Linked DNA regions of Notamacropus eugenii. The protein of the gene in region 2 interacts with the protein of the main gene of each other region in a pairwise test. Links are inferred from orthologs where the notes say so. Each region holds a gene or a part of one and is shown on either strand. Other genes may lie near its edges.

Region 1 (7,576 bases), on a different chromosome or scaffold from region 2:
TGCCATTTGGGTTACTCTATTTTTAAAGGTATTATTTTATTCAGCATTTCCTGGGTCTCCTTTAGCAAGGTGTTGACTCATTTTTCATGGTTTTCTTGCATCACTCTCATTTCTTTTTCCAATTTTTCCTCCACTTATCTTACTTGATTTTCAAAATCTTTTTTGAGCTCTTCCATGACCTGAGACCATTGCATATTTTTTTTTGGAGGTTTTGGATGTGGAAGCCTTGACTTTTATGTCTTCCTCTGATGGCATGCTTTGTTCCTCATCATGTGAGAGGATGGAGAACATACCTTTTCACCAAGAAAGTAACATTCTGTAGTCTTTCACCCCTCCCCCTTTTTGGGCATTTTCCTAGCCAGTTACTTGACTTTTGAGTCCTTTGTCAAGTGGAGAGTATACTCTAGGGATCTGTAAGTTCTCAGTTCCCCCAAGGTGGCACAATCAAGGGAGAGGAGTTTACTCCTCTCCTGGCCTGCACTCTTGTCTTTTCTGCCTAAGATCTGTGAGTAGGATTCCCTCTCCAGAGGCTCCACCAGCTCCACCATGCCAGTGCTCCTCCTCATCCCAGGACTGCCACTCAGGGCTAAGATTCAGATCAGTAGCTCAATTCCCCCAAGGTCTTTAGACTGAGGGCTTCAAAAGTGGACTCTGCTGCTGCAGTGGCTGCTGCTGCCTTGGGGCCAAGGCTTACCCTGGAGAAAGAGTTTTTTCTTACATTTGAAGCTGTTTGGCTTTTGTCAGTTGAGAAATCTGGAAACCGCAGCTGCTACCCATGATTCCATGCCCTGAAGCTTGCTCCAGTCCTGTCCAGGTGGCCATGGCTGGACTGCACTCCGCTTGGAGCTCAGTGTGATAGACCTTTCCTGTTGGTCTTCCAGGCTGTCTTGGGTTAGACATCTCTTTCACTCTGTTGTTTTGTGGCTTCTGCTGCTCTAGAATTTGTTTAGAATCACTTTTTACAGGTATTTTATGGGCTATGGGGGTAGAGTTAGAGCAGGTCCATCCTTCTACGCTACCATCTTGGCTTCACCCCCATGCCCGAGTTATGCAATGATTTAAAATAAGTAATTTTGTGGACACAGAGATATTACTGGAGTAGAATGACTGAATCACTGTATGCAATTTGCTTCATTTTTTTTTTTTAATTTGGCCCCTAGTCAGTTTATTTTAAGGGAGACTGATAGTGTCACAAACTCAGTGCCAAGACTCTCAGCTTCTTCTTGCTGTATTCCTTTGTGTCTTTTCATACAACTGCCCTTTTGCACTCAATGTCACCAAGCTATGGGGTTGTGAATGGATGTGAAAGAATTGTTCAGAAGCATCTGGATTTAGAACCAACTGTGATCTGGGTCTTGCCCTCTAGATATAGTATCCTACCAAGTTTTACCTTTTCTTTTTTTTAATTAGGTTAACTGAAAATTGATATTTGATGCTTGAATTAGTCATTAAAGGTTTATTATACTTTTAAACAAATAACTTATTTGAACAATTAACTAACAGCTGTGAAACACCTCTTATTTTACCATTATGGAAAGATGCAGAAAAGGTAAGCAATTCAATTCAATAAACATGTTTAAGGACCTACTACATGTAAGGTTTTGTTCTAGGCTCTGAGGAAACAAAGAGAAAAAAATAGCTATAGACCCTGCTCTAAAGGAGCCATAAGTCTAATATAGCAGAACGAAAAGGAGAAGTACCTAGAATTTACCAAATTAGTAAATTACAAAGTGAGAAAGAATTTTAAGAGCTCATCTCTTTCTATCTTCTATCTGGAAGGAGTTGGTACAATTATTGCAATATGTAAGCAGATTTGCCTCGAAGTGGGGGCATTAGGCTGAAGGAAGGAAATAAACATTTATTAAATGCCTACTATGTGTGAGGCACTTTATTAAGTACATTACAAATATTATTGCATTTGATCCTCACAACAATCTTGAATGCTATTATTATTACCATTTGACAGTTAAGGAACTAAGGTTAAGTGACTTGCCTAGGGTCTCACAGTTAATAAATGTCTGAGGCTGAATTTGAATGCAGGTCTTCCTAAGTCCAGATCAAGATATCTATCTCCTGTACCACCTAGCTGTAACTTTAAAACCAACGTTCTTAACCTCTGTTCCATGAACTTTCTTTTTAATCCATATTTTGATAATTGAATTTTAATATAACTTATTTTCTTTATAATTCTATGTATCTTATTTTTAAAACATTTAAAAATATTACTCTGAGATCTGAATTCTGAATATCTGAATTCCATATGCTTCACCAGACTGCCTAAGGGACCCATGGCACAAAATAGGTTAAGAAGCCCAGGGCTAAAGGATCATGACGATCCAAAAGGTTGTATGCTTTCCCTAAAGGAGCAAGATGGGAGGATTGGATTAGGCCAGGGATTCTTAAATTTGTATTCTAGATCCCTTCAACATCTGATGAAGTCTGACAGAATTATATTTTTAAATGAATGAAATAAAATACGTAAGTTTACAAACCAATTATATTGAAATATATTTATAAAAATAATTTTGAAAATCAAAGCCACAGACTCTAGGTTAAGAACCCCTGGCACTAAACAAAATCTAAGGTCCTTCTTGGTTCTAAAAATATAAAAATATCTGACAGAAGATATAGATTTAGATCTCTTGAAGAAGTTTTTCATGTTCCATGAAGAATAAAGTGGACCTAGGATGCCACCAAGAACTAAGGAGAAGGAATGAGGAAAACTAAAAGTGTCTCTACTGAGCCATCTGAAGGTGTCCGTGTTTTGACCTGATGGGAGCAATCAACACACACATTGTCTTTCCTCAACTTGTTCATTCAGAAGGTGGCATAGGAGGTGATAGAAAGTCTTCTAAGGCTTGTCAGAGCTGAGCATCAGTATCTACTTCTGGTGATTCACATGTAAATAAATGATATTTCTAGAAACAACCTGGAAATAATTGCTAAAGATTATGAGCCACTGGGATGTAAACTGAATAATTTAGGCATGCACTGAAATGATGTATTCATTTTTGCTGCCAACTGAAGAAAAGGGCAATGAAGTGAACAGCTGTCTGAGGCTGTCTAAAGCAATGAGGTCAGAGTATAGGATTTAGAATTCTGGATCTTGGCACAAACTCCAGTAATGATGGGCTGTTGCCAGGGATGGAGTATACCTAAAGAGAACTACGAAAAATGTATTTGCTTGGAGACTAGCCAATATGATTAAGAAGGCATTGAATTTTAAAGAGAAAAGGAAGGAGAAAAGTACTCAAATACAACTACTAACTCAGATGCTACAGAGAACAGCTGGAATGACAGAGAGATAATACCAACAGTGGATTTCAGTAATTCACAGGGGCTGATAATGCAGAAGAGGGGCAGATATGGGTTCACGTGGGTTCAGGTATCAATTTATTGTTGCCTAGAATATAGGTAAAACAAAAATGAGCTGGGGAATTAATATATGGAGGTAACTATGATTTCATAGGAGTGATTAAGACTTGGTGGGATCCAACTCACAACTACTCTGCAAGTCAGCCAATAGGTATTTATTATGCCTTTACTATGTGACTTTGTACAACTCCGCCTCACTTCAATCTAATTCACACAAACATCAAGATATCACTCCAAGATGTTATTGATCCTCTTTGAAAATAAAGGACAAACAACAACAATGTGACATGAACTGTGCTATTCACTGGGGATATAAAGAAAAACAAAAAAATCGTTCCTATCCTCAAGAGGCTCACATTCTAATGAGGAAGATAACATATCAATAACTAGGGATATACAGGATATATACAGAGTAGATGAAGATAGTCTGAAAAGGAAAGGAATTAGCAGGTGTAGGCTTCCTAAAGAAGGTACATCTTAAAAAGAATCCTTAAGTCTTAAAGGAAGTCAGAGAAGATAAGAGGCAGAGATAAGAGGCAAAGCCTTTGAGACTTGGGAGACAGCCAATGTAAAGGCACAGAGACTGAAGACAGAGTGTTCTGTTCAAGGCATAACAAGTAAGCTAGTAGAACTGGATCATTCAGTGCTTGCTGGGCTGAAAATGAAAGAAGAGGCTGGGCCATAAAAAGCTTTCAATACCAAAAAGAGGGCATTATATTTGACCCTGGAGGTAGCAGGGAGTCATTGGAGCTCTTTGAGCAGAGGGATATGTGTAGGGGGAAGGTGAAATGATCTGATCTATACTTTTGGAAAATCACCTTGGAAGGTGAGTAGATGATGGATTGAAGTAGAGGGAGACTCGAGGCAGGGAGATGAATTAGAAGGCTATCATAGTAGTCCAGGTAAGAGGTGACGAGAGCCTTTACCAATGTGACTGTATGAGTGGAGAGAAGGAAACATATGAAAAAGGTTAAGGTAGAAATGATAAGATTTAGCTATGGATTCCATAGGTCAGGTGAGGGAGAGTGAGGAGTCCAATATGATACTGAGGTTTTGAACCTGGGGCACTGGAAGGATGGTGGTGCTCTTGATAATAATAGGGAAATTGGGAAGAAGGGAAAGCTTTAGGGGAAAATTAATGAGTTTTGTTTTAGACATGTGGCATTTGACATGCCTGTGGGATACCAGTTCCAGAAGTCAAGAGGCAGTTGGAAATATATGAATATAACTCAACAGAGAGACTAGGACGGGAAGTCATATAACCTGGGAGTCATTTACTTAGAGATGATAACTGAACCCATGGGAGCTGATGAGATCACAAAGTGAGAGAATATTGAGGAAAAAAAAAGAAGGGGGCTCAGGACAGAGCCTTCAGAGTTACCTTCAGAGTTTGTAAGCATAACATAAATGAAGAAAAAGATTCTAAGAAGTGGTTGAATAGGTAGGAATAGAACCAGGAGACAGCAATGCCCTGAAAACCCAGAAAGAAGAGAGCCCCTACTTTCTAAAGTTGAACTGTTTACATTCCTACATGGAAAGATAATATTTGTAACTCTTGAAACTTTTCTCAGTATTTGGGTAGTTGGAGGGATTACACACACACACAGAGCACAGGGTGAGTTGAATAAGAAGGGATGATACCTAAAAAAATAAAATTAAGAGATGAGAGAGGACTATATTGGGAGGAGAAAGGGATAAATGGAATGGGGCAAATTATCTCTCATAAAAGAGACTAGAAAAAGCTTTTTCAATGGAGGAGGAAAGGGAGGAGGTGAGAAGAAAAAAGTGAAGCTTACTCTCATCGCATTTGGTTTAAGGAAGGAATAACATGCTCACTCAATTTGGTATGAAAATCTGTCTTACAGTACAGGAAAGTAGGGGGAAAGGGGATAAGCAGTGTGGCGGGATGATAGAAGGGAGGGCAAATGGGAGGAGGGAGCAATTAGAAGTAAACACTTTTGGGGAGGGACAAGGTCAAAAGAGAGAACAGATTAAATGGGGGGCAGGATAGGCTGGAGGGAAATAAAGTTAGTTTTACACAACATGACTACTATGGAAGTCTTTTGCAAAACTACACATCTATAGCCTATATTGAATTACTTGCCTTCTCAATAGGGATGGGTGGGGAGGGAGGAAGGAAGAGAAGTTGGAACTCAAAGTTTTAGGAATGAATATTGAGAATTGTTTTTGCATGCAACTGGGAAATAAGAAATACAGGTAATGGGGTATAAAAATCTATCTTGCCCTACAAAAAAAGAGAGAAGATGAAGATAAGGGAAGGGTGGGGTGTGATAGAAGGGAGGGCAAATTGGGGGAAGGGGTAATCAGAATGGACAGAGTTTTGGGGTGGGGGAAGGGAGACATAGGGAGAAAATTTGGAACTCAAAATTTTGTGGAAATGAATGTTGAAAACTAGAAATAAATAAATAAACATTAAGAAAAAGCAGAGAGCCCCTAGAAGAGCAAGGTGGTCAACAGCATCAAATGTTTCAGAAATTTCAAAAAGGGTTGGGATAGAGAAAAGGGGATTAGATTTCATAGTCACAAAATCATTGGTAACTTTGGAGAAAGCAGTTTCAGTTGTAAGATAAGTTTGGAAGTCAGATTGCACAAGGTTTAGAAGAGAGTGAGAGAGGAGTAAGTAGAGGCTCCAAATGTTAGCCAAAAAAAGAAAGATATAAGATTATAACTAGGAAGGCTAATCTGATGAAGTAAGGTTTAAAGGATTGGGGAGACATAAGCATATTTGTAGGCAGCAGGGAAAGAGCCAGTAAGTAGATAGGGTAAGATTGAAGATAGGAGAGAGAATGGTGATAATAATGAGAGAAATTTGTTGGAGAAGCTATTAGGAGATTGTATCAAGAGGACATGTAGAGGGCCTTGCCTTGGCAAGGAGAAAGGCCACCTCTTTATCTGAGATTGGAGTAAAGAAAAAGATAACAGAGAAAGATATTCAAGTAATATGAGATGAGGAAGAGGAAAGAAGTGAGGAGGAACCTGAGAATTGTCTCCAATTTTTCTGTAAAATATGAGGGGCTTTGCTGGGAGGTGAAAGGTGTGAAGTAGGAGGTTGAGAAGAGACAAAAAGATTTAGATCAGCTATTATGGAGAGTGGGAAACATATATGTTTCCCTCTCTCCACTCATACATGTGGAGGAATAGAATGCTTGCTTTGTTGCAACAGGGTCCAGTTAAGTTCAGAAAACAAATTTTTAGTGAGTTCAGTCAGCAGGGTTTCATGTCCTCTAGCTCTGTGCAGCAGCGTATGAACAGGAAGGAAGGTGGCAAGATGGAGGACTATATGCTTATGCTTGGATAAACATGATCAGTGTTAGGACAAGTGGGGGAGGAATGTAGGGTGAAGAGTAATATAGAGTTGAGTTAATTCATGAGGGTTTAAGATAAGGAAGGGAGAAGAGTATATAGACAGTATGAGGTGATGGCCTGGGAAAATAAGAAACAGCTCTCATGGTGAGGATGAAGGTTAGGGGTTGTGAGGAAGAGGGAAATATCAGATAAAAGAATTTCAGATTTCATGAACATGGGTGTGGAACACTTGTGTGTGAGGGCAAGATCAAGGATGTGACCATCTTTGTGTGCAGCTTAGCTATAGCAGAGGAATATGTTATAACAACTGAACAAATTGAACGGCATCAATATATATGAAAGCAAGAAGAGAAGAGAAAAACTATGAATCCAACACTGAATTCATTGAGGGTAAAAGAAGAATGTCCTAGAAATCAACAGAAAATAGCCTCTAGGAGCTGGATTTGATTATACATTTTAATGTCATGATCCTGAAAGGAGAAGAGATTGCTTAGCAAAGGTTACTGAAAGAAGTCTGAAATTGGAGAAGGAAATGGCAAACCACTCCAATATCTCTTCCACGAAAGCCCCAAATAGGGTCATAAAGAGTCTAACATGACAGAAAACCACTGAACTTTGAGTGGCAATGGGAAGTAAGGAGTATTCCGACTGCTATGACCAATGGAATGGCATACAGTCTTCCAAAAGAACAAATGAGATAGAAAGGGTGGCAGGGTAACATACAGCAACAAGATATTCATCTATAGGAAATAAAGGAAAGTGTGGAGCAATAGCGCAGTGGAGAGTATTAGGATGAAATCAAAATGAAACATTAGGTGACCAGTTTCTGCAGCAAAACACAAAACTGGTTTACTAATAGGCTCTGGTTGTCATG
Region 2 (7,584 bases):
CAGGCACTGGGCTAAGCACTGGGGATACAAAGAAAGGCAGAATAATTTTCCTCTACAACCTTCCTGACAAGTCTTTGTTTACACATCTCCAGGGCTGGGGAACTCACTACCTAGTCAGCCTGTTCTGCTCTCAGAAGACCCTCATTGTGAAGTTTTTCCTTACAAAATCCTCATATGTGTTTCTTCTACCCTGCCCCCATACTAAGGTTAGGAAACAACCAAGACATGTTAACATTAAAGGTGAAGAAAGGAAATTCAGGCTCAAGTCCAGGTCCTGATCACTTCCCCAAACTATGAAACAAATGTGGGGAGGGTGAGAGGTGGGGTCTGTGTTGCACGACCTAGAGTTAGTCTCAGTCTCAATTTTAATCAATCTCTCTCTCTCTCTCTCTCTCTTTCTCTCTGTCTATATATATATATATAAAATATATCATATCTTTATCTCTATATCTATCCATATATATATATACATATATACATACACATACATATATACATGCTCAGATCATTGAACAGAGAATATCACAGTGGGGAGAGAATATAGAACAAAAGAAACTCCCTGGTATAATCACTGAGCTTGGAGTCAGAAAAACCTAGGTTTAAATGCTTCCTCAGGCAACTTGCTAGCTGTAAGACTCTGGATTGGTCACTTTATTATTCTCGACTTCCATCTCCCCTCTCTGAAATGGGGATGCTTAGAGTACCTGTCTTCCAAGGATTCAGTGAGACAGAGCATGTAAAGTGTTTAAAGCAATATATATAAATGCCAGCTTTTGTTAACAAAGAATAAAAACATGATAAACTTCAGAGCTGGAACAGATTGGAGACTGTAACTCCACTTCTACAGAGGAGAGAGGCTGGGAGAGGGAAGTGATATGTCCAAAGTAACACACTGGGTTCACGGGACTAGCCCCCCAGATCATTTTGTACCTTTCTATTGCCAGGGCTCAACACAGTTTCCTTGTATACAAGAGGTGCTGTATAAATGCTTGTTTTTCCTTTCTTTCCCCTCCTAGGGTGCTTAATAGATGCTTGGTGAATGGAAATGACTCCTGACCAGTTCTGCATTGTTGCAGAGGGTTGCTTGGGTGTGTGTGTGCTGGGGTGGGGTGGGGGTGTGTGTCTGGTGAAGCTTCTTCCCCATGACCTCATCCCTGCCGCCTTCTTGTGCTGGGAACCAGTCTGACAGCTGCCTCGGCAAGGGTGGGGAAGACCAGAGCAGAGAGATCAGTGGTGCCTGGTGGGAGTGTGAGAGAAACTTGAAGAAACCTACTTCATCACTTAGAGGTCATCCCTGTGGTCTAGGGAAAGGAGGACAAGCATGCCCCGCCATGGGGACAGCTGGCTTTATGTCTCTTCCCCAGTCACTCCCCAGCCAGGATGTGGGTGGACACCATCCAGCTTCTTAGACAGGCCAAGCAGGATGGCTTTGGGCATGTAGAGACAGACACAGATGTCCATATCAGGCGTGGCCCCTATGTGTTGGATGGGTACGCAGGTGGTCGGCCACCTCACCAAGGGTGACCCCTACTGTAGCTGAGTTCATATGCATCCCAGATCATAGAGTAGATCTGGGTTCTAGGGCCAGTCCTAACTAACTCACCAAATAACCCTGTGCAAGGCCCTTCTTCATGGTCCTCAGTGTCCTTATCTGTAAAATTAGAGGGTTGAACTTGGCTGGTCTCTAGATTGCCATAGTCTGACATCTTTGGAAAGGGCCAAAGAATATAGGATGCCATTGCTAAAAGAGACCTTAAAGCACAGAATGCCAGACCAAGGAGGGCCCTTAGAAAAAACAGATTCAGAACTTGGAGGGACCTTAAAAAGTGGAGTAAGAACAAGAGACCTTAGGAGAACCAAGTGAACTTCCAAACTGGAAGGGACCACAAACAGATGATGTCTGAGTTTTGCCCTTGGAGACAGTTTTCTTCCCCAGAAGAAAATCTCACAGGGTTACACACTGCCTCCATACCTTACACACACCTTTCCAACATGGACCCGGCCTGCCTGCACTGCCTTCTGGATTCCACATAGCTTGGTATACACTCTTCCACCCTCATCTGGCTATGTATGGCTCTGCTCCTAGAACCCTGACTCCCACACACCACTTTGCAGAATTTAGGGTTTCGGGACTGCGATAGACTTTCAGTCATGCATCAACATCCTCCCCCAGTCCTACCCCTGGCTTTTTTTTTTTTTCATTAGATAAGAGAAACCTAGAGAAGGGATTGGACAGGCAACCAGGTCAGTGCTGCCCGGTCAGGATGGGCACCAAGTTCTGTGGACTCCCCGGTCAGACCCACGTTGTTGTTTGTCACCTAGACCATCCCTCCTCTGAGCCGACCCACAATCACAGCTCCACACACAGAGAGGTTCATGGTCCCCAGTTCGCATCCCCCCAACACCCACCAGTCGCTAGGTCAACTCACTCGGAGGCCCCAGTCCTACCACACCGGCAAGCACTGGCCCCGCCCCACCCCGCCCTGGCTCCTGTTTACCTGTGCGGAGGGGGAGGGACGGCAAGTGTATGCATGTGGGGGGATCTGAGTTTGGAATCCTGGGGGGGAGGGGGCGGGACTAGGGGAGCCAGGGACACCCTTGTGGTGAAAGTAGCAGGATTGAGGAGGAAGGAGATGAACGGAGAGTGGGATGGATGGTGTATGGTTACGGTGGGGGTGATGGAGGGAGGAGGATGGAGGAAGAGAAAGAGGGGGATAAAGGGAAGAAAAGGGAAGGGTAATGTAGGGAGGGGAACAGAGGAAGGAAAAGAGGGGGAAGGGGCAATAGAGGGAAGGGACAGAAAGATAGAAAAAGGGAGGAGGTACAGAGGGAAGGAAAGAGGGGTTATGGAGGGAAGGGAATGGAAGGAGGCAAAGAGGGTGGAGGGAGCCCTGGAGGGAGGGGGACAGAGGGAGGCAGGGAGGTGGAGGGGGCCCTGGAGAGAGTATTGGGGATGCAAGGGGATGGAGGGGGCCCTGGAGGGACTACTGGAGGAGGCAGGAGGGTGGAAGGGACCTTGGAGGGAGGCTAGGGGTGTGGGGAGCCGGAGCCGGGAGTGCCCTGGGCCCCCATCCGCTGGGCCGCTTCGCTACCTGTCTGCACTCCGTTCTCCCCGGAGCTCCCGCTCCCGCTCCAGCTCCAGTCCGTGCTGTCGCTCTCACTGTCGCTGTCCCTGTCGCTGTCGCTGTCGCTAGGGCTCGCTCCGCAGCTGCCGCCTCCCCAGCCTTCTCCTGGGAGCCTGCTGGAGGGCTCCGAGGAGGCTCCGGGGGAGGCGGGGCCGAAGCCAGGATTAGGGAGGGGAGGGGCCGCCCTGCTCCCTGCAGGTGAGGTTCTACCCGTGGTGCTCTGTGGGCGCAGTTGGGGGTGGGGAGCCCTGAATGGGGGAGCCGTGACGTCAGAGACGCTTCTAAAGCACTTTCTTCCGAGTCGCGGAGCTGCGGCCGGCGCTTGGGTCTGGGTCGTCCGCTTGGGGCAGTCCGAATGCGGCAGGCCGGGAGACAGCTCACTCCCCATGTGGACAGATCTCATTGTTGAACAATAAAGTTTAAAAAAGGCTTTGCTGACGTCTGGATACAGCTGCCCCATGAGCAGCCAAAAGGCAGGCAGACTAGGCTCGATGTCCCAAGCTTCCCACCAGGGAGAGCCGTCCCCTAGGGGAGTGGGCAGCCCCTACTTCGAGGGGATCTCCAAGCCGAAATTGGAGGACTGCTGCTCGAGGATATCATTCAAGGGTTCCTACTGGATGGAAGCTGAACTGGCTGCTCGCCGAAATCTCTTCCATCTCTTAACCTTTGTGATTCTGTGAACTCCCACCGCCCCCTGCCCCCTGTTCCGCCCCCATGGGCTAATCTCTTGGCCATAGGACAATCCTTTAGATTCTTGGGGAAAGCTACCAGGTAACTCCCTGAGTCTCCTCTTCCCCAGTTCCTCCGACCCCTCCTTATATGACATGAACTCAAGATCCTCGACCGTTCTCGTTGCCCTCCTCTTGATGTTGTTCAATCGTGTTCGATTCTCCGTGACTTCATCTTCGGTTTTCTTGAAAGAGATACTGCAGTTTCTTTCTTCAACTCCTTTGACAGGTGAGGAAACTAAGGCAAACAGGGTGAAGTGACTTGCCCAAGGTCACACAGCTAGTAAGTGTCTGAGGCTGGATTTGAACTCAGGAAGATGAGTCTTCCTGATTCCAAGCCTGGAACTCTACGCATTGTACCACTCAACTGTCCCTCTCTTCTGGATACTCTCCATCTAATCAACACCCTTCCTAAAATGTGTACCCAGAACCGAACACAATATTCCAGGTGTGGATATGATCAGGGCCTGACTACAGTCACCTCCCTAATTCTATACAATTATTAAAAATTTACTTTTGAAAATTTCATTGGTGAAGGGACCTCCTAGTCCTGTAATTGCTTCTCTGCTAGTAAATATGAATTAGCAGCAGCTCCACAATTTCTAATTCTGGAGAGTCATCTAGGACACTAGACTTGCACAGGGTCACAGTCCATATATATCAAAGGCAAGACTTGAAACCAGGTCTTCCTGCCTGGGGTTGGCTCTCCAAGAAATGAAGCTTCCTCAATAGCTCATGAATGGAAAGTCCAGGGTATACTATGCTTATCTGAAAGGAACCTAAGACTGCATTAACTTTTCTTGCTGCTAGTCCACATTGTTTAGAGGTCTTACAAACCACTAAGACACTCCCCCCCACTTCTTTTTCAGAACTGATATCTAGACACACTTCTCCCATCTTGTGCTTGAAAAGTTGATTTTTTTAAAGCCCAAGTGTTGACTTTTATTTTTTAATCCCTATAGAATTTTCCTTCACAATATCCCTACTCCTTAGAACTTTAGAGTTATAGATTCCTAACTGAATTCATCAAATGATAATTTTTAAGCACCTGCTCTGTGAAAAATGCCAGGAATGTCGGCTGTTGGGGCTATAAAGATAATAATAAAAAGTAATTCTTGCCTTCAAAGAGCTCACATTCTACTGGAGGATGCAATAACAGCAAAAAATAAAAATAAGAAGGTTAATAACAATATTTACATAGTTTCTTATATACATTATCTCATTTGAGTCTCGTAGCAACTCTGCAAGGTAAGCAAATAAAAGAAGAATTAATACTGACCCTCTCCTACTGTTTTTGTTTTTGTTTTTCTTTTTATGGTCATAGAAGCTGAGTTAAGAGAGTGTGACTTTTTCATAGTGACGTAGTTGGTAAATGTCAGAGGCAGGATATGAACTCAGATCTTCCTGACTCCAAGTTCAGTACTATATTCACTAGACTATTCTAGCCTATCTCCCTGGAAACAGATAACTAAATACATGATCAGCTGAAAAGGGGAGAAAATACCAACAAATAGGAATATCAGGAAAGGTTTTGAGCAGAGGATGGCAACTGAACTATATGGTGAGGAGGGAGTACATTTCAGGCAATCAGAATGACCTATGCAAAGATATGGAGGCGGGAAATGGAATGGCTAGAATTTGACTAGAAATCTAAACTTGTGAAGGGAAGTAAAATGAAATGTCTGAAAAGGTAGGTGGAAGCAGACTGCAAAGGACTTTAAAGGCCTGAGGAAATTGTATTTTATATTATATTTTATAATTATATTTTATATTAGAAGGGATAGAAAATCTTGAGAAGGGAAGTGTTATTGTTGGGATTCTGTTGTAGTAGATCAGTTTGGCATCTATGTGGAGCATAATTGCAAAGAAGAGAGACTACAAGCAAGGAAGCCAAGAAAGCTATTTTGTTGGAATCCATGAAAGGAGATTAGAACTCAAGCCTGAGTAGTGGTCATGGGCCTGAAGAGAAAGGGATAAATGTGAGAGATGTTTTAAGAGAGAAAAAGATGTCAAGAGAAACTAATTAATCAATAGATCAATTAATCAATTGACATTTATTAAGTTCCTACTATGTGCCAGGCACTGTGTTAAATACTGGTGATACAAAAAAAGGCAAAAGATAGTCCTTGCCCTCAAGGAGCTTAGAATATTGATTAAATATAGGGGGATGAGGGAAAAGGAAGGCGTCAAAGATGACTCCAAGGTTTTGATGTTTTTCTTAAATTATTTCCTGCATGAGGGTATTCAAGAATGTTTGATTTTTCATGTTCTTCTGGGAGAATTTTCATCCTTAAACAATCCCTATGCAGCTTATCTTCAAAGTCAGCCACTTGGGCTTGTATAGGGTTCATGTGTTCTTGTAACATTATTGCCTTTTGCTTCTTTTCTGTGGAATTTCTGTCCACTTAATGTATTTATTTGCATTCCAAATTCTTGTTCTTTATCATGTATTCAATTTTTCTTACTCTATTTGTGTTTTTTAATTCTGCATTGGGAGCTTTGAATTCTGTCCTAATTTCATTCATAATTTCCGCTTTTAAAAGTTGTATTTTTCTTCTGAACCATTCTGGAGTTTCTTGCTATCATCTCATGATTTCTGGAAGAGCCTCTCTTTCATTAGGTAACACTCGTCCATTTATCATCATATTATAATATTTGTTCCAAGAGTTTTGGTTTCTTTTTTGAGGTTTACTCCTTCCTTCTATAAATATTATGTTCTCTTGTAGTTTATCTGTTTGGGGGCTGGAATTTTTTTCAGTCTTTCTCAGTTACTCTTGGGTATTTCAATTGTCCTCTTTTCCACCTACCTTCAGGAATCTAAATCACTTTACTTCTCACCCTTGCACAGATAGACCTCCCAAGGTAGCCCCAGTAGCACCTTGAGTTGGGAGATGTGGGAGTCAGCAGGGCCTTGAGAGAAATCTAGGAGAAGACTGGTCCTGAGTGGGTTTCTGTTTCTCTTAAATCAATATTCCCCTCCAGTCTGTGACACTGATCCTCATGGTTTGATTTCTACCTTCATAGTGTTTTATGTTCCATCAAGCCTTCTCCTTTAAGTGGCTGGGTAGAATTAGTGTCTGCTACTTCTTGTGGGGCCAGTGGGATTTGGGTAAGATTACTGCTCTGTGAGGTTCCTGAATCACAAGTCCTTGGTTGTACCTACTTTGATAGGTGCCTGGAGTTAGATGTGATTAAGGACAGGATGACTCATCCTGATGAATATTTGGTGGCTGGATTCAGATAGCTCTGGAGGAAAGTGAGGCTGCTGACCTGCACAGCCCTCCTTCACTCAAAACAAAGTCAAGTGCAAGTCATGTCATTATTTCTCTGGTGGCATGGTCTTCTTCAGCAACGAAGGATGAACACACAAGGATAGGAAATGAAAACTCTCTGTTAACATTTTCTGTTAATGACATTTTTACCTTACTTATGGAGGTTCTGTCTTCTTATCTTTAGGACAGAAATTAAAGCTCCTGATGCAGAACTAAATCTTCTTAAATACTAAGCTGTATTTACTCATTTCTTGGGCAGAGTTTCTTTCTTCTGAGGTTCTCAGGTTGGAAAAGTTTGTAGATTGCAACTCTCTGGTCATCTTGCTGGTCTCACTGAGATTTTGAACCTGGGTGACAGGAAAGTTGGTGGTGCTTTCCCCATAGAAATAAGGGTTTTGAGGAGTGATTTTGAGGTGGAATTAATTCATTGGGGGGGGGGGATATTCTGAATTTGATATA
Region 3 (7,541 bases), on a different chromosome or scaffold from region 2:
TTTTTTTAACATATATTTTTAAAGTTTGGAGTTCCAAATTCTTTCTATCCTTCTCCTATCCAAGATGGCAAGCAATCTTGTTTCTTGAAACCTAGGCTCCTTACCACCCCTTCCCTTTCACCCCTCAAATTAGAGGGCAACACAGGGCTAAGCTCACATCTAGTCTAACTAAACAAATTCTGTCTAGGCAGAGCTCAGGTATGAGTTGTGGAGAAATGATCCCTATGGGATTTATATTGTCTAAAATCTTAGAATTAGATGCAGGAGTGTACTGTTAAGTATTTAACAACTGGCTCTCTGGGGGAAAATTAATATGTATGCACCACACACTTTTCAGCTTACCTTGAATTATTAACATTTTCACCATCACAAATCTAGACAATCAATAAAATAAACTAAGCCCTGATGAGTAGCTTTTGTAAATATCCAAGGTATAAATGCTTACAATGAAAATTTAACAGTCAGGTCCTAGGAGCAGACTTTATAGCACACCTCTGCCTAGAAGGGACCTTAAGGACCATATGTGTGGTTCTGTCATGCCTCCCTCATTTTCTAGATGCAGACAAAAGGAGAACAGTCACGCAGCCAGTTAGGGCCAGAGCTGCTTCTTAGAATCTGTTCAATGTTCTACTACACCATTCTGGTTTTGGAGGGGTTAGGGGGCAGGGACAATTGGTAAATAAGCATTTATGGAGTGACTCCTATGAGCCAGGCACTAGGCTAAATGCTGGTGATACAGAGAAAGGTAAAAAACACAGTCCCTGAAATCAAGGAACTTACAATCTAAAAAGAAAAACAGCATACCAGCGATTACATGCAAACAAGATGCACGCAGGAGAAACTGGAAATGCTCAACAGAGGGAAGGCGCAGTGGAAGGACTTAGGAGGGACTGCGGAAAGGTTCCTGTAGAAGGTGAGATTTTAATTGGGACTTGGAGGAAGCCAGGAGGCAGAAATTAAGGGCATTCCAGATGGCCAATCTAGAGGTAGAAAGGGAGGTATGTGTGTGTCTGTGGAGGAGTGAGAAACTTACCACATATTGGAGAGAGTTTAGAATTATGGAATACTGAAGTTTATAGCAAGGAGTGATCTTAGAAAACATTAGTCCAATCCCTTTCTCCATTTTACAGATGGGTGACCGGATCTTCAGTGAAGGACAGTGACTACCAGGGTCATATGAGGCAGGGCCAGGCCTAGGGGCAAGTCATCTGCTTCCTAGCAAAGGATCCCTACGTACCTGGATGGGCTCTTTGCTGGGGCGGGGGGAGGGATGGGCATCAATCATACTTACTTCCTCCCGTTCAGCATGTTGAGCCTTGAGAACTTCCAAGCTTCTGCTTAGCTCCTCATTCCGTTCTAAAAGCATCTTGCCCAGCTCAGCTGCCAGTAGTAAGTCCTTCTCCTTTCGCTGAAGCAGCACAGCCAGGTCCTCAGGCTCATCCTCTGGCTTTTCATCCCCAGGCCCTGGCCCCCCCAAGAAGGAATCTCGCCTCTCCAGCACAAAGGGGAAGAAGCCATCATCCCCACTTGGGGAGGTACTTCCTGAGAGCAGCCCCGAAGGGAACTGGGGACTACTGGGGGAGTTCATGCTTCCCCAAGCATCTACAGGGAGGAAGGGAGAGGCCAGCTAGAGAAAGAGGCTAATGAGAGCTCTCCCAGCCTCTAGGTGACTACCTCAGAACCTAGGTATCCTGGTCCCCAGATTACTGTCCTACTTAAGACATGGGCATGCTCATCCCCAATTTCCTCCACTCCCAGTAATGTCTAGCTCAACTCTAGAACCAGTGTCCTAGCTCCCAGTTTTCAACTCTTCCCTCTCCTTGGTCCCAGACATCCTGGTCCCCAACTCTTTCCATTCAGGCATTCTGGCTTCTCAGCTCCTGACCCACCTGCTTCCTGATTCCTAGCATTCCTTCCCTCACTCCTTTCTCTGAACCCTCAAGTTATCCCAAGGTCAAACCCCAGAACCACCCTCAACATAGTGGAAACTTTCCATCCCAGACTTCCTTCCTTTCTAATTCTGTAGTCAAATAATCCTTGTGCTATAAAAGGTTAATGATATGTATGTTTGCCTAGTTCCCGTTACTGACCCAAAGGGTAACTGAGGCATGGAGGGAACCAAATAACATCTATCACTGTGAAAGCTTCCTAGTGCCCAAGCATTGAGTCAATCCCAGTTTTTAGGATCTTCCTTCTGTGGACTTAACTGTCCTCATTGTTCCAGCCCTGCTTTGTTTGAGGCTGCATACGTCCCCCAGCCCTCTCTTACCTCTTGGACCTACATGTCCTGATCCCTTCAGCTCTGCTTGATCCCAAGATTCAAGTACTCTGTTCCACACACTCCCCAAGCCCATTCTCTCCCAGGAACAAGCATTCTGCTCTCTAGCCCTCTTCTAGGACCCAGATATCCTAGCCACCTTAGACTGCTTTCCCATTCCAGCATTCAATTGTCTTCACCCCTAGTTTTCCTTCCCTTTTCTATCTCCCAGGATCTAGGCATCTGGACTCCTAGACCTGTTTTCTCCCTTTACTTAACTCCTAAGCAGGCTAACTGGTTGTGTTGGGCTATGGCTCTCGGTTTCTGTTTACTTCCTGGGCCCCACCCCTGGAGACCATATCTTGAACCTGTTCTTGGCTTCCAGTTCCCAGATCCTACCTCCCCCACCTTTCACCTTCTTCCCTTATTCTTTATGCCCTTGCTCCCAGTTTCCCCTTTGGTAAGGAATAGAGGGGATAGGAAGGGATAGCACCCTCTATGAGACCCCTTCCCTCCTTCCCTCCCAAGATATATCTCTTGACCTCTCCTCTTCCTTAATCTTGGACCTGTCAGCCCAGTTTATTCTGCCTTTCCTACCTCTCAGGTCCTAGAACCATAAACCCTGCTTCCAAAGTGCTCACCCTGCCCCAGAGTTCCCCAGAAAAGATATTGTGGTCTCAGTCCCTGCTCCTGCTACCACTGACCAGGTTCTCCTGAAGCATCCTTTCCAGCAGGCTCCCCTACCCTCCGAGAACATGGGAGTCTAAGCCTTCAGGATCAATCTTCTCCCCCGAATTCAAGGCTCCTTGCCCTTGTTCTCTGACTTTCCCAGACCTTGAAACCTTGGCTGTTAGGCTTAGTCTGCCTTCTGGAACCAGGATACCTGGCCCTTTCAGTCTCTTTCTCCCAGAGCTAATTCTCTTCCATTAACACAGGTGTCTGGGTTCCTAGCCTCAGCCTCCCTCTACAGACATGACCCATGTAGTCAGTTCCATAGTCCCATCCATAGTCCCACCTGTATCGCTGGGAGGGTGGGGGGTGAGGCCCCCTATTGGACCTGGCTTCCCATTCTCAGATCTCTCTCGGTCTCTCTCCTGGCCTCCGTCACTTCTCTTCCGGGGGGTGGGGCCAGGTATACTGGAACACAGGTGAGAGGGGTGGTGGCCTTGGGAGGAGCTGGGTGGCCCTCTTGTGGTTCAGTTCAATGCAAACATCTTCAGACTTAAAGTCAGTCCCACAGACCCCAAAGCGTCTGGACATAACCATGGTCTCAGGCTGTGGGGAGGCTTTGGCAGACAATTCCCATTTAATCATTAATGCCCCTACGTGCTCAGCCCGAAGCAAGTCAGAAGCGCATCCCTGCTCTTGGGGGAGAAGGTGCTCATCTTCTTTCAAATAATTAAATATCAATAGAGTTCAATGATTAGGTACCAAGTGACCATAAAAATGATTTCCAAAGTCTATCTACTTTGAGTAGTCTCTGCAGATAATTCCCAGATTTAAGCCTCTAACCCTCATCTTTCCCTAAATACAGACCTATATGTTTACTGGATGTCTACACCTGGAATTCACATTACTGAAGTCCTTGCTTGAGCTGAACTGCCAAGTATTCAAACTATGCTTCAGAGAGCACAACTCCGATGGGCTGGCCTCATTGTTCGAATGCAAAATGTACACTTGCCAAAAAGACTATTTTATGGAGAACTCACATGGGGCAGGCGATCACATGGTGGTCATAAGAAGTGATACAAGGACACTCTCAAGGTTTCTCTCAAGATCTTTGGATTTGACTGTGCAACATGGGAGACACTGGCACAGGACTGCTCAGCATGGTGTGCCCACATCAGAAAGGGTGCTGTGCTCTATGAGCAAAGGAGAATTGAGACAGCACAAAGTAAAATGTAGGATGCGCAAATTTGGAGTATCCAACCCAAAAATTCACATGGACTATCTGTGCCCAACCTGTGGTAGAGCATTCCAAGCTCATATTGGTCTGATCAGCCACAGTTGGACACACTAAAATTTTACTTTGTTGTGGTGATGTCATTTTGGTCCTCTTTGAGAATGAAGGAAAACAACCAACCTCCTAGAATTCACATCAACACTATCTCCAAAACTGACCTGATCATCTTAACCCCTGACCCCAAACCTGTCCTTCCCCCTGATTCTTCTGTTTCTATCCTATGATATCACCATCCTCCTAGTCATCCAAGCCTCAAACCTCAGAATCATCTTTTACTCTTTGTTTTTTGCTCCACTCCTTTTCGTCTTCCCCCGCCCCACAGAAAATCTCAAATTCAATCAATGTAGTTACAGTTGAAAGAACACAGATTCTGGAGTCAGAGGACCTGAGTTCAAACCCTACCTCAGTGATCTCGGACAAGTCACAACTTAACTGAACCTCGATTTCCTTGTCTATAAAACAAGGTAGTTGTACTGGGTATCTCTGGAAGTTACTTCCAGTTCATCTATGATCCTTACACAATAATGCTTATTCCATCATCTTAGGTCAACTCCTCATCACCAGTCTACTGGACCACACTGATAGCCTTCTAATTGTTCTCTCTGCCTTCCTTATGCATAGATCTTAACAGACCACTCCCCTGCTCAAATACTTCAAGATAGTTCCCCAAATAAATTCCAAACTCTTCTGTCCTGGCATTCAGGGCTATTCAGAGTCTAGCTCCAATCTCCCTTTCCAGCCTCATTTCAGGCTACCTCTGGGAGCCCAGATCTGTCAAAGCAGAAGGCTCTCCCAACCTGAGCACCATCATTCATTTTCAGCCACTCTAAACCTAACCCCACCCCCACTCCCTTCCTAGAAGTCCTTTTATTTCCTCTTCTTGGCCAGTTCCAATTCTGTAGTCATTCCTGGCCTTGCTCAAGTACTAATCTCTTCTAGAAACACCTTCAGGACCCTCACACAGATGTCTTTTTCTTCTGAGCCCCCATGGCCCTTACCCTCCTTTCTCTCTCTCTTCCTGTCTCTCTACCCTCTTTTTCCCTCTCTTCTCTTCTCTCCTATTTTTCTCTTTCTCTTTTTGTCTCTGTCTCCATTTTGCCTTTTCTAGCTTCTATTTTGGCATCTTAGAATCTTCTCACCATCAAGAGAAGACATTTTCAAATCAAACCATTTAAATGTGAGGTGTGTTTTGTACCTAGGAAATCAGCCAAACAAACAAAATTGACCAAACCCCATATTGCCGGAGTTGTGAGGGGGAAAAGCACCTCAGAATTACATTATTCCCTTTGTCTAGGAAGCAGCCTTTTTTGTTGGGGAAAGGAGACTGGTTCTGATTTAACACAGCCACTGAGTCAGAGTGTAACCAGCCTTGGGCAGATCACTTCTTTTCTGAGTGTGCTTCCTACTGGGTCAAATGGTGGGTTGGATTAGATTATATCTAAGTCACCTTTCAGCTCTGATATTTTAAAGGCATCTTCCATTCTAGGATTAATTATCCCTAATTAATTCATGGAAATAGGGCAGGGATTATTATAGAGGAGTTCATTGAGAACTTTTAGAGGGGAAGTGATTTGGCCACAGACACATTGTGACAGAGATAGACCCCAACCCAGGTCACCCATTCCATCTCCAACACTCTGCCCAATGCAGTGAACTGCCTTAGTAAATATACTTTGGAAGATTAACAGGAAGTCATACTCTAGAGCTTTGAAACATGGCAAATATGGTCAGTTTGTGAGTCCCTGACCCCTGACCTATGTATGCAATCATTTTCAGTGGGAAAAAAGCTCAACCCCAGTGTCTGTACTAATGAATGGAAAGCTTTTTAAATTCCTTTTTCTATTTAAGGATCAGAGTATTTACTTTATTAAGGAGCTGAGGTCTAATGAATGGAGAAGCACAGGCAGCAAGTGTAGACTGTCTTCAGAATTTTGTCAGTAAAAGAGAAGAGAGAATGGGAAGGATGGTAGCTGGGGAATAGGGCTGTCTCATCCTCCCTGCACTTTCCTCTTTCACTTCTTTCAACTTCTTCTCTGACTAACCTCATTCCCATTAGTGGTCATGGTTTGGCCCTTCCTCCCACCTCCTTCCCAGAAACACTCAGCTTGTCAATATTGATCTGGAATAGCCAACTGGCAGGAGAGCTGGGGCCCCATTTATTGAGGAGGGCTTAGGGAACCGTGATGCCTGGCTTCCTGGAGGAAACTGGGAGTTGGTGGCCCTATTCAACACTGGCTACCTGAGAGAGAGGGATGGTGCAAAGGACAAAATGTCTCCTCTTCTCTTTCTCTCTTCCCCTTTCTTCTTCTCCATTCCTGTCCCATTTCATTTTCCCCCTCTCCTCTCTGTTTTTGTAAAGCAGAACTAAGCCCTGGAATGGAGATTCCCACTGAAAGTTTCCCTTGAGGAAGGGAAACTAAGAGGACTCAAGAAATCTGGGTCATCAGGGATAGGGAGAGGTTGGTGGGAGAGAGAGGGGTGTACCTATTGGGGGACCCAGGCCAGAGAAGAGATTGAAGGCAGAGATATCCCCAGAAGGATGAGCAGAGCCATACCCAGAGTTGTCACGGAGGTAAATAGCTCTCAGAAAAAAACCTTACTACTTCTCTGTAACAGGACTGGGCTTCGTACTGGTTGGAGGACAGTAGCAGCCTAGTATCTGGTTAGCCTAGCAACTCTGGTTTAGCCATCAGAAAATATATTTGCAGTCCAGCCTATGCAGCTACTGGATGAGTACGATCAGCCCTGAGCAAGTCACTTTCTCTTTCTGGGCCTCAGTTTTCATCTCTGCAAAAATGAGGATAAGCTTTGTCCTGCCTACCTGCCTCATAGGACTGTTATGAGACAAAAGCTGCAAGACTCCTATGGTTTATATGTGGTAGGTTCTAATAGTGAATGAGACAGTTATCCAGATGGGCAGATTCAATTAAAGATGAGTTATTAGTCCTGTCTCTGCCACTACTTCTGTTTCTGTTTTCTTCTGTAAAATAGGGAAATGAGCCATGGATCAGATGATTTTTTTTAAAAGGCCACCTACCTCTCAAAATTCCTTAAGTGGGGCTGCATGTGTTTCTGTGCACATGAGGTCCTGTGGTGGGTGCTGAGAGGCAGCCAGAACCCACTGCAACTTGGCCTCTTTCTAAAGCAAGCTCACAGCCAGGTTGGGGGAAAGGGGTTGGGACATATACCTGTGGAATTATGCCACCCCTGTCCCAACCTCCATTGGTACAGGTCTCTTCCCTGTACCTTGGGACAAGGGTTGCAGGTAAGACAATGTAGGATGCTCAAATGGGGAGGTAGCCACAAATAACAACTACCCCT
Region 4 (8,159 bases), on a different chromosome or scaffold from region 2:
ATGCTGCCAATATGAGAATGAGTACTGCAGAATTAATTATGCTTTTAGCAAACTCAAAAAAACCAAAAGTTACAACCATGGTCTCAGACAAATCTTGGTAAAAATATAGTTAACAAGCAAAAAAGGTAATCACATTATTCTTAAAGAAGCCAGAGTCAATGAAATTATATCATCATTTTATATAAATATACCGAAGACCACAGCACCTAAGTGCTCAAAAAAGACATTAGAGACCTAAATAGAATTTTTGAACATAATTACTGTTTTATAGCATTGTTTCTATAGGAAAATGTGTTTTAAAATTCAAACAACTTCAAAAGAAATCTCGAAACTCATTTTTAGTTTGAAAACTGTCTTCATACTTTTAGATGCATGTCCATTCTGGTGAGCCAAATACACTCTTAATGAACTGACACAATTCCCTTGCTCTCTTAACTAATTCTTACTAAAAAGAGAAAAGTACTAAATTCTTGTGCTCTAGGGAAAAGTAGCAGTCAGAACACCTCATTTATAGCTCTGCCATTTGGTCAGGTTCAGTTATTTTTTTCTGATTTCATATTATCATCATGTCATTTCTACTTCCCACATAGAACATAGATCAGATATTAAAGATACCAATGTAGTCATTACATTGTCCTAGGCAATAAGTAGCTATGGGCATACTGGCAGATCTGTTCCATCTTATATCTATTTGTTGTTTTCCTTCCAATTCACACCAAGCTCTCCATAGGCATATTTTCTACTCCAATGCCTTTTGCTGTTTTGTGAGGCAGTATTGGGGTAAGAGGAAAGGAATAAGCATTTACATGGGACCTACTATGTGCCAAACACTGAGCTAAGCACTTTTTACAAATGTTATCTCATTTTATCCAAGACAATTCTGAAGGACTTATGATGAAAAAAATGCTATCCACCTTCAGAGAAAAAACTGAAGGAGTCTGAATGCAGACTGAAGCATACTTTCTAAAATCTTATTTTTCTTGGTTTTTTTTTCTGGTTTGTGTTTCTTTTGTAACATGGTTAATTTAGAAATATGTTTTGCATGACGTTCTCAAGGCAGGAAGCAAAGGGAGGGAGAGGGGGAATTTGGAACTCAAAATTTAAAAAAAGTAATGTTAAAAAATTTACATGTAATTGAGAAAAATACATAAAATATTATCTCATTTTACCCTCAAAACAACTCTAAGAGGTAGGTGGTATTATTACTTCCATTTTACAGTTGAGGAAACTGAAAGAATCAGAGGTTAAGTGACCTGCCCAGGGTCATACAACTAAGGCCACATTTGAACTCCAGGCCCAGAATTCTATCCACTGTATCACCAGCTGCCTCAAAATTACTTCCAATCTTCCATTTCTTCTTCCATAATATTGTACAAATAAGCTTGTATTCTAAATCATTGTTGCCCTAGGTTTCCATGTCTCTCCTCTTGGCAAGAAGCATCAGTAAGGCATCTTTTAGGCTCTTTTGGTCTTCTTATTGTAGCAATTGTTTCTTCAACTTCTCCAAGAAATAATGATCAACAGAGTTGGTGCCTTTATCAATTTTGCATTTTTTTCAGAGCTAACACTTGGTTGTAATAGCCTAGGTTATAATTCTATTCACTATCTTTTTAACTTTGTTCTTCTAGTTTGGTTTCAATTTTAACCTCTATTCTAACCAGTGATCTTACTACGTACTGACAGATGGATAAGAAATGACCCCAAAATAAATCATTATTTCCCAACTGCTAATATTTTCATTTGTTACATTTTTTTGGTTCTGGCACACTGAATTACATATCATATTTGTGACATAACAAGAATAAAACTTATTAGTGACTTTTTGATCTTTTTCATTTTTTGATACTGAACCAGTTTCCAATGTTTCACATTTTTTACCAGCTTCCATTGTGTCCACTTTCTCAATGAAGTCACCACATATATGCTACCTTACTTTAGAGGGGGGGTTGGACAGTTCTTGATGTAATTTTTCTACTTCTTCATCCTTTAAAGCACATCAAAGAATGCTTGTTGTCTCATGAGTAGGTCTGAATTCCAACTTCAGTGTATATACCAAATCTCTCCTAAAAGCTGTGCAAGCCAGATGCAGAAATTGTTGGAATTTCCCAGCATATCCTTGCTAGATGAGATGCAACCAAGAGTGAACAATTCAGTTTTATTATTTACAAGACTTTTTTCCTACCTATTTCGTTACTTCCTGGCAGTGGTCTAAGACTATACTTGCTGCACACACCTCATTCCCCATAGTCAACAAATTAAGACTCTAGATTTTGAAAAGGGACCTTCAGCTCCCTGTATTAACTAGGACTAGGCTTCCAATACTAGTATCACTGAAGCAATAAATCAAACTCACTAGATTTCCAAGCAGCCCAGTTAAGACCTCAGAGTGGAAAAGGGACATTACATCACATCAGATCCTACCCTTTAGTAGAGATCCATGGCATTCCCAACAAGTGATCCTTTTGATCCAACATTTCCTTGAAGACCTTATGTGATAAGAAAATTATTTCCTAAGGGAGTCCATTCTGTTTTTAGGATAATTCTAACCATCAGGTAATTCTTTATGCTCAGCTAAAATCTCCTTTCCAATAACTTTTATCTCTTAGTTCCAATTCTGCCTGCTGTAATCAAATAAAATCACCCTAAATCCCCTTTTGACATAACCACCCTTCAAACCGTTGAAGATAGAGATCATGTTCCCTGCTAAATAACCCCACCTTCCAAATGAATCTGAAATGATGAGAATTTGAGTCTCTTCACCATATTGGCCACCCTTATCTCAATGAGCTTTAGCCGTAAATAACCTTCCTACAATAAAAAATCCTGAAAGGAATATAATATGGCATAGGTGGTCTGATCTTGGCAGTGTAGATATGGCTCATGTTTCCCTTGTTCTGGACACAATGCTTCTATTAACAGAGACTTACACTATTTAGGTTTCCATGTCACACTATTGTCTTAGATTGGATATATACGTTCACTTAAATTTCCATGTCTTTTTCACATGAAAATACCATGCAGTTTTCTTCAACTTTGTGTTTATATATTTGATTTTCTTTTAACTTAAGTAGAGAACTTTATATTTATCCATATAAAATTGTGGGTTGTGAGATCAAATGAGATAATATACAAAAAGCACTTTGCAAACTTTAAAGTGATGTATAAATTTTAGTTATTACTAGATTTGATTTACTTAGACCCAATCATATCATTCCAGGTACTAAAACAATTGCTGACATTTCCATAGCACTTAAAAGTTTATAAATAATTTATAATGCATTACCTCATCGGATCCCCACATCTACGTCAAGACTGATGATGGTCCATTAAGTCTTCTTTGGGCTAGATATTTCAATAAATTCAGGCTCTATGCATCATTCAGCCTATATGTCCACAATCTGTTCACAAGGATTTTGTAGGATAACTTGTTACATGTTTTGATGAAATTCATGTATAGTAATGTTTATTATACATTCCTGATCTACTTGTGTAATATATGTTGTCTTTTGATGATTACTACTTTATTTTTCTTTTTTTTTTTTAATTTAACTTTTAACATTTATTTTCACACAATTTTGGGTTACAAATTTTCTCCCCTTTTATCCCCTCCCCCCTCAAACCCAAGCTTTCTAATTGCCCCTGTGACCTATCTGCTCTCTCCTCTATCCTCCCTACCTGCCCTTGTCTCCGTCTTCTCTTTTGTCCTGTAGGGCCAGATAGCTTTCTTGACCCCTTAACCTGTATTTCTTGTTACCCAGTGGTAAGAACATTACATTTGGTCCTAACACTTTGACTTCCAACTTCTTTAGCTCCCTCCCTCTCCACCCCTTCCCCTTGGAAGACAAGCAATTCAATATAGGCCAAATCTGTTTAGTTTTGCAAATGATTTCCATACTAGTTGTGTTGTATAGGACTAACTATATTTCCCTCCATCCTATCCTGTCCCCCATTACTTCTATTTTCTTATGGTCCTTTCCCTCCCCATGAGTGTCGACCTCGGATTGCATTCTCCTCCCCATGCCCTCCCCTCCATCCTCCCCCCCACCCTGCTTGTGCCCCTGTCCCCCACTCTCCTGTATTATGAGATAGGTTTTCCTATCAAAATGAGTGTGCATTATATTCTTTCCTTTAGTGGAATGTGATGAGAGTAGACCTCATGTTTTTCTCTTGCCTCCCCTCTTTATCCCACCACTAATAAGTCTTTTGCTTGCCTCTTTTATGAGAGATAATTTGCCCCATATAACTTCTCCCTTTCTCCTCCCAATATTTCTCTCTCACTGCTTGATTTCATTTTTTTTTTAAGATATGATCCCATCCTCTTCAATTCACTCTGTGCATTCTGTCTCTATGTATGTGTGCATGTGTGCATGTGTGTGTGTGTGTACTCCCACCCAATACCCAGATACTGAAATGTTTCAAGAGTTACAAATATTGTCTTTCCATGTAGGAATGTAAACAGTTCAACTTTAGTAAGTCCCTTATGACTTCTCTTTGCTGTTCACCTTTTCATGGTTCTCTTCATGCTTGTGTTAGAAAGTCAAATTTTCTTTCCAGCTCTGGTCTTTTCATCAGGAAAATTTGAAAGTCCTCTATTTCATTGAAAGACCATTTTTTCTCCTGAAGTATTATAGTCACTTTTGCTGGGTAGGTGATTCTTGGCTTCAGTCCTAGTCCCTTTGACTTCTGGAATATCCTATTCCATTCCCTTCTATCCCTCAATGTAGAGGGTGCCAGATCTTGTGCTATCCTGATTGTATTTCCACAATACTTGAATTGTTTCTTTCTAGCTGCTTGAAATATTTTCTCTTTCACCTGGGAATTCTGTAATTTGGCCACAATGCTCCTAGGAGTTTCTCTTTTTGGATCTCTTTCATGCGGTGTTCTGCGGATTCCTTGAATATTTATTTTGCCTTCTGGTTCTAGAATCTCAGGGCAGTTTTCCTTGATAATTTCATGGAAGATGATATCTAGGCTCTTCTTTTGATCATGGTTTTCAGGTAGTCCCAGAATTTTTACATTGTCTCTCTTGATTCTATTTTCCAGGTCAGTTGTTTTTCCAATAAGATATTTCACATTATCTTCCATTTTTCGAATCTGCATGCTATGTTCTGAGATATCTGTCTTTCTCATAAAGTCCTTAGCGTCCATCTGTACCATTCCAGTTTTGAAAGATCTATTTTCTTCAGTGAGCTTTTGAATCTCCTTTTCCATTTGGTTTATTCTGCTTTTGAAAGCATTCTTCTCTTCATTGGCCCCTTGCACCTCCCTTGCCAACTGAGTTAGGCTAGTTCTCAAGGTGCCAATTTCTTCATGATTTTTTTGGTTCTCCTTTAGGAGGGAGCTGATCTGCTTTTCATGCTTCTCCCTCATCCCTCTCATTTCCCTTCCCAGTCTTTCCTCCACCTCTCTAACTTGATTTTCAAAATTCCTCTTGAGCTCTTCCATGGCCCGAGCCCATTGGGTGGGCTGGGACACAGAATCCTCGATTTCTGTGTCTTTGCCTGATGGCAAGCATTGTTCCTCCCCATCAGCAAGGAAGGGAGGAAGTGTCTTTTCTCCGAGAAAGTACCCTTCAATCGTTTTGTTTCTTTTCCCTTTTTTGGGCATTCTCCCCAACCAGTGACCTGACCTCTGAATGTTCTCCTCACACCCACCTCGCCTCCTGGTCCTCCCAGCCAGCGTTTGGGGACTGAGATTCAAATGCTGCTTCCTGCCTTAGGGTTTTTGGCGGGGGCAGGGCTGCTATTCAGTGTGAGAATTAAGTTCAGGTGGTCAGGGGCAGGGCCGCCTCTCTGGCTCAGTTCCCTCAGGGGGTTTATGCACAGACCTTCCACAATGGATCCAGGCTCCCGCCCGTTTGGGGAGCCCCTGTCTGTAGCTGCCTCTCAGCTTCTATCTCCTGGGGGAACCCGAGCCATGGGGGCACCCCACTCCCCTCTCAACCCGCCAAAGAGACTCTCTTACCTACCCCCGTCAGTCACCTGTTGGTGGGGGGGCTTGTGCCGCCGCTGGAGATCCCGTCTCTGGAGCCTTCTCAGATCTGTGCCTCTCGGAGCCGCAGACGCCACAGGTCCGGGCTGGACTCTGTGTCTGCAGTGCGACGGACCTTTTGCGAGAGAGGTTTGCAGGTCCCTCTGTGGGTGGGGGGACCCGTGTGGCCGCTGGAGATCCCGTCCCTGTAGCCCTCTCGGATCTTTTCCTCACGGTGTCGTGGTCGTGGTAGGGCTGCCCTCTGCTTCCCGTCCCAGCGCCCAGTCCACGGCGCGAAGGACCCCCTGCGAGAGGTTTGCAGGTCTCTCTGGAACAGAAATCTCCCTCGCTCCAATATTCCGTGGTCTCTGGGTGCAGAATTCGCCCTGGGTTGGTCCCCTCTAGCCGTTCTGTGGTTTGTGGGTTCGGAGCTATGTGTATGTGCGTCTTTCTACTTCGCCATCTTGGCTCCGCCCCCTTCTACTTTATTTTTCAAAGTGTCACAAGACTTAAGTTTAATAATCTAGAATTTTACTAAGGATTAATGTCAAGTTGTCCAACTTAAATGTGCAATCTACCGTCTTCCTCGTTTTTCAAAATGGAGACATTTGCCCTATTTGCAGTTTTGTGGCATAGCTTCTCTTCTCCACCATTCCTTTTAGGTCACCAGTTTATCACAAATTAGCTCTTGATTCTTTGATTCTTTCAAATGAACTCTTTTCAGTTACAAAAGAATTATTCCAATTGGCTACTACCCCACCACCAACCCGCAGCTGCATAAAGAACTTACAACATCTGTAAGTTTAATTGCTCTTATTCTAAAGTATAAGCTAGAATTAGCATCTCCTTATATGAAATGCACACTCCCACAATTTTTCATAGTCTACCCACTAGATGTGTCTGATATTTTACTGGTATAGTCAAGAGAAAGGTCCAGAAGGACATCTGAAGGAACTTGCCTTTACAGAGGGAGAAAATAAGGGCTTTCTACATCCTAAACCAGTCCACAATATTCATTCATTTTTCTGTAAAGTTCATTAGTTTCATACATACAAGAATTTCTTCTAGTTACCTCTTAACTGGAACATTATCACAATCAAGACTTGAGGGGAGAAATAAGAAGCAGAAACACCATTCAGATGAAGAGAATAAGCATTATCATCAGTGCATTATCACTACTAACATAATGATTTCCAAAACATTAGAAAGGAGTTCTCTCTTAGAGGAAATCTCAATCATTTTTTACTAAACTATTAAATAAAAATCAAATTAATTTAACTCTCAATCTGCTAAAATGTCAGACAAGGATATGTATATATGTGTATGTGTGTGTGTGTGTATGTGTATAAAAAAGTTAACATATGGAAGAATAGGGTAGAAAATGACTCTTTAGAAATGTTTACACCAACAGATGATTTTATAATTAAAAATAATCTTCCCAAAGATTTAATTGTAAGAGTTACAACTGCTCATCCGAAGTGCCTAGAGACATAGTTTCAGAAATATCTCCCTCCAAATTTTGATTCTAAAAAACAAAGTTGGGTTCATAAACCATATTCAATTGAAATCAAAACATCAGTCATCTGCCATTAAAAGTTCAAGAAGAATTTGCCAAGTTATTAAGTGATACAAGTTTAAAAATTGGGTTTCCTTAAAAAAAAAAATTAAATGAATTTTGACTCGGGATTAAGGCAGAATTTCCAGCAATTTCTGAAATGTCCCTAAACATACTTCTGCCACTTGGTACTACATATTTAGGTGTAAATCTCAGCATAGACAATTATAAAGTCAAAATATCAATCAACTCTGAAAAAATGTTGAAGATACTCTACATCCGACATTATCAAATATTCCACCAAGATTTAATTCTTTATGTAAAAATAAGCACATCATTTCATTAGCATACAAATCTGCTTTCATCTTTAATAAATGATTAAATTACACGTATACCAAAGAAATATTTTAAAATATTTTGCCCTTAAATTATAGAACAAGGAGGCAAAGTAGAAATAGAAAAAAAATCTACTGATCACCTCCTGAAAGAAATCTCAGGAGGAAAACTTACAAGGATATCATAGCCCAGTTTCAAAGTTTCCAGATTAAGGAGAAAATATTGCAAGCAACAAGTAAAAAATAATTTAAATATGATGGAGCTACAATAAGGATTACATAAGATCTAGCAGCTACTA

Evidence for each region.
Region 1: the proteins of KLC3 (region 2) and TSNAX interact in binary tests that used the Homo sapiens proteins (3 or more experiments, as listed by UniProt). The two-hybrid records come from large-scale screens. The link is inferred for Notamacropus eugenii from reciprocal best matches to the Homo sapiens genes KLC3 and TSNAX.
Region 3: the proteins of KLC3 (region 2) and BICDL2 interact in binary tests that used the Homo sapiens proteins (3 or more experiments, as listed by UniProt). The two-hybrid records come from large-scale screens. The link is inferred for Notamacropus eugenii from reciprocal best matches to the Homo sapiens genes KLC3 and BICDL2.
Region 4: the proteins of KLC3 (region 2) and CEP57L1 interact in binary tests that used the Homo sapiens proteins (3 or more experiments, as listed by UniProt). The two-hybrid records come from large-scale screens. The link is inferred for Notamacropus eugenii from reciprocal best matches to the Homo sapiens genes KLC3 and CEP57L1.

The regions. Positions count from the first base shown.
Region 1 is NC_092873.1:389,856,163-389,863,738, forward strand, and holds the start of TSNAX (translin-associated protein X), read left to right. Parts: upstream 1-4,117; 5' UTR 4,118-4,201; intron 4,202-7,576.
Region 2 is NC_092876.1:27,702,798-27,710,381, reverse strand, and holds the start of KLC3 (kinesin light chain 3), read right to left. Parts: upstream 3,529-7,584; coding exon 3,093-3,528; intron 1-3,092. UniProt on the Homo sapiens protein: Kinesin is a microtubule-associated force-producing protein that may play a role in organelle transport. Plays a role during spermiogenesis in the development of the sperm tail midpiece and in the normal function of spermatozoa.
Region 3 is NC_092872.1:56,607,159-56,614,699, forward strand, and holds the start of BICDL2 (BICD family-like cargo adapter 2), read right to left. Parts: upstream 3,248-7,541; 5' UTR 2,355-3,247; coding exon 2,270-2,354; intron 1,603-2,269; coding exon 1,292-1,602; intron 1-1,291. Other genes in the region: THOC6 (THO complex subunit 6), read left to right, coding at 3,792-4,277.
Region 4 is NC_092873.1:188,929,143-188,937,301, reverse strand, and holds the start of CEP57L1 (centrosomal protein CEP57L1), read right to left. Parts: upstream 3,498-8,159; 5' UTR 3,302-3,497; coding exon 3,284-3,301; intron 1-3,283. UniProt on the Homo sapiens protein: Centrosomal protein which may be required for microtubule attachment to centrosomes.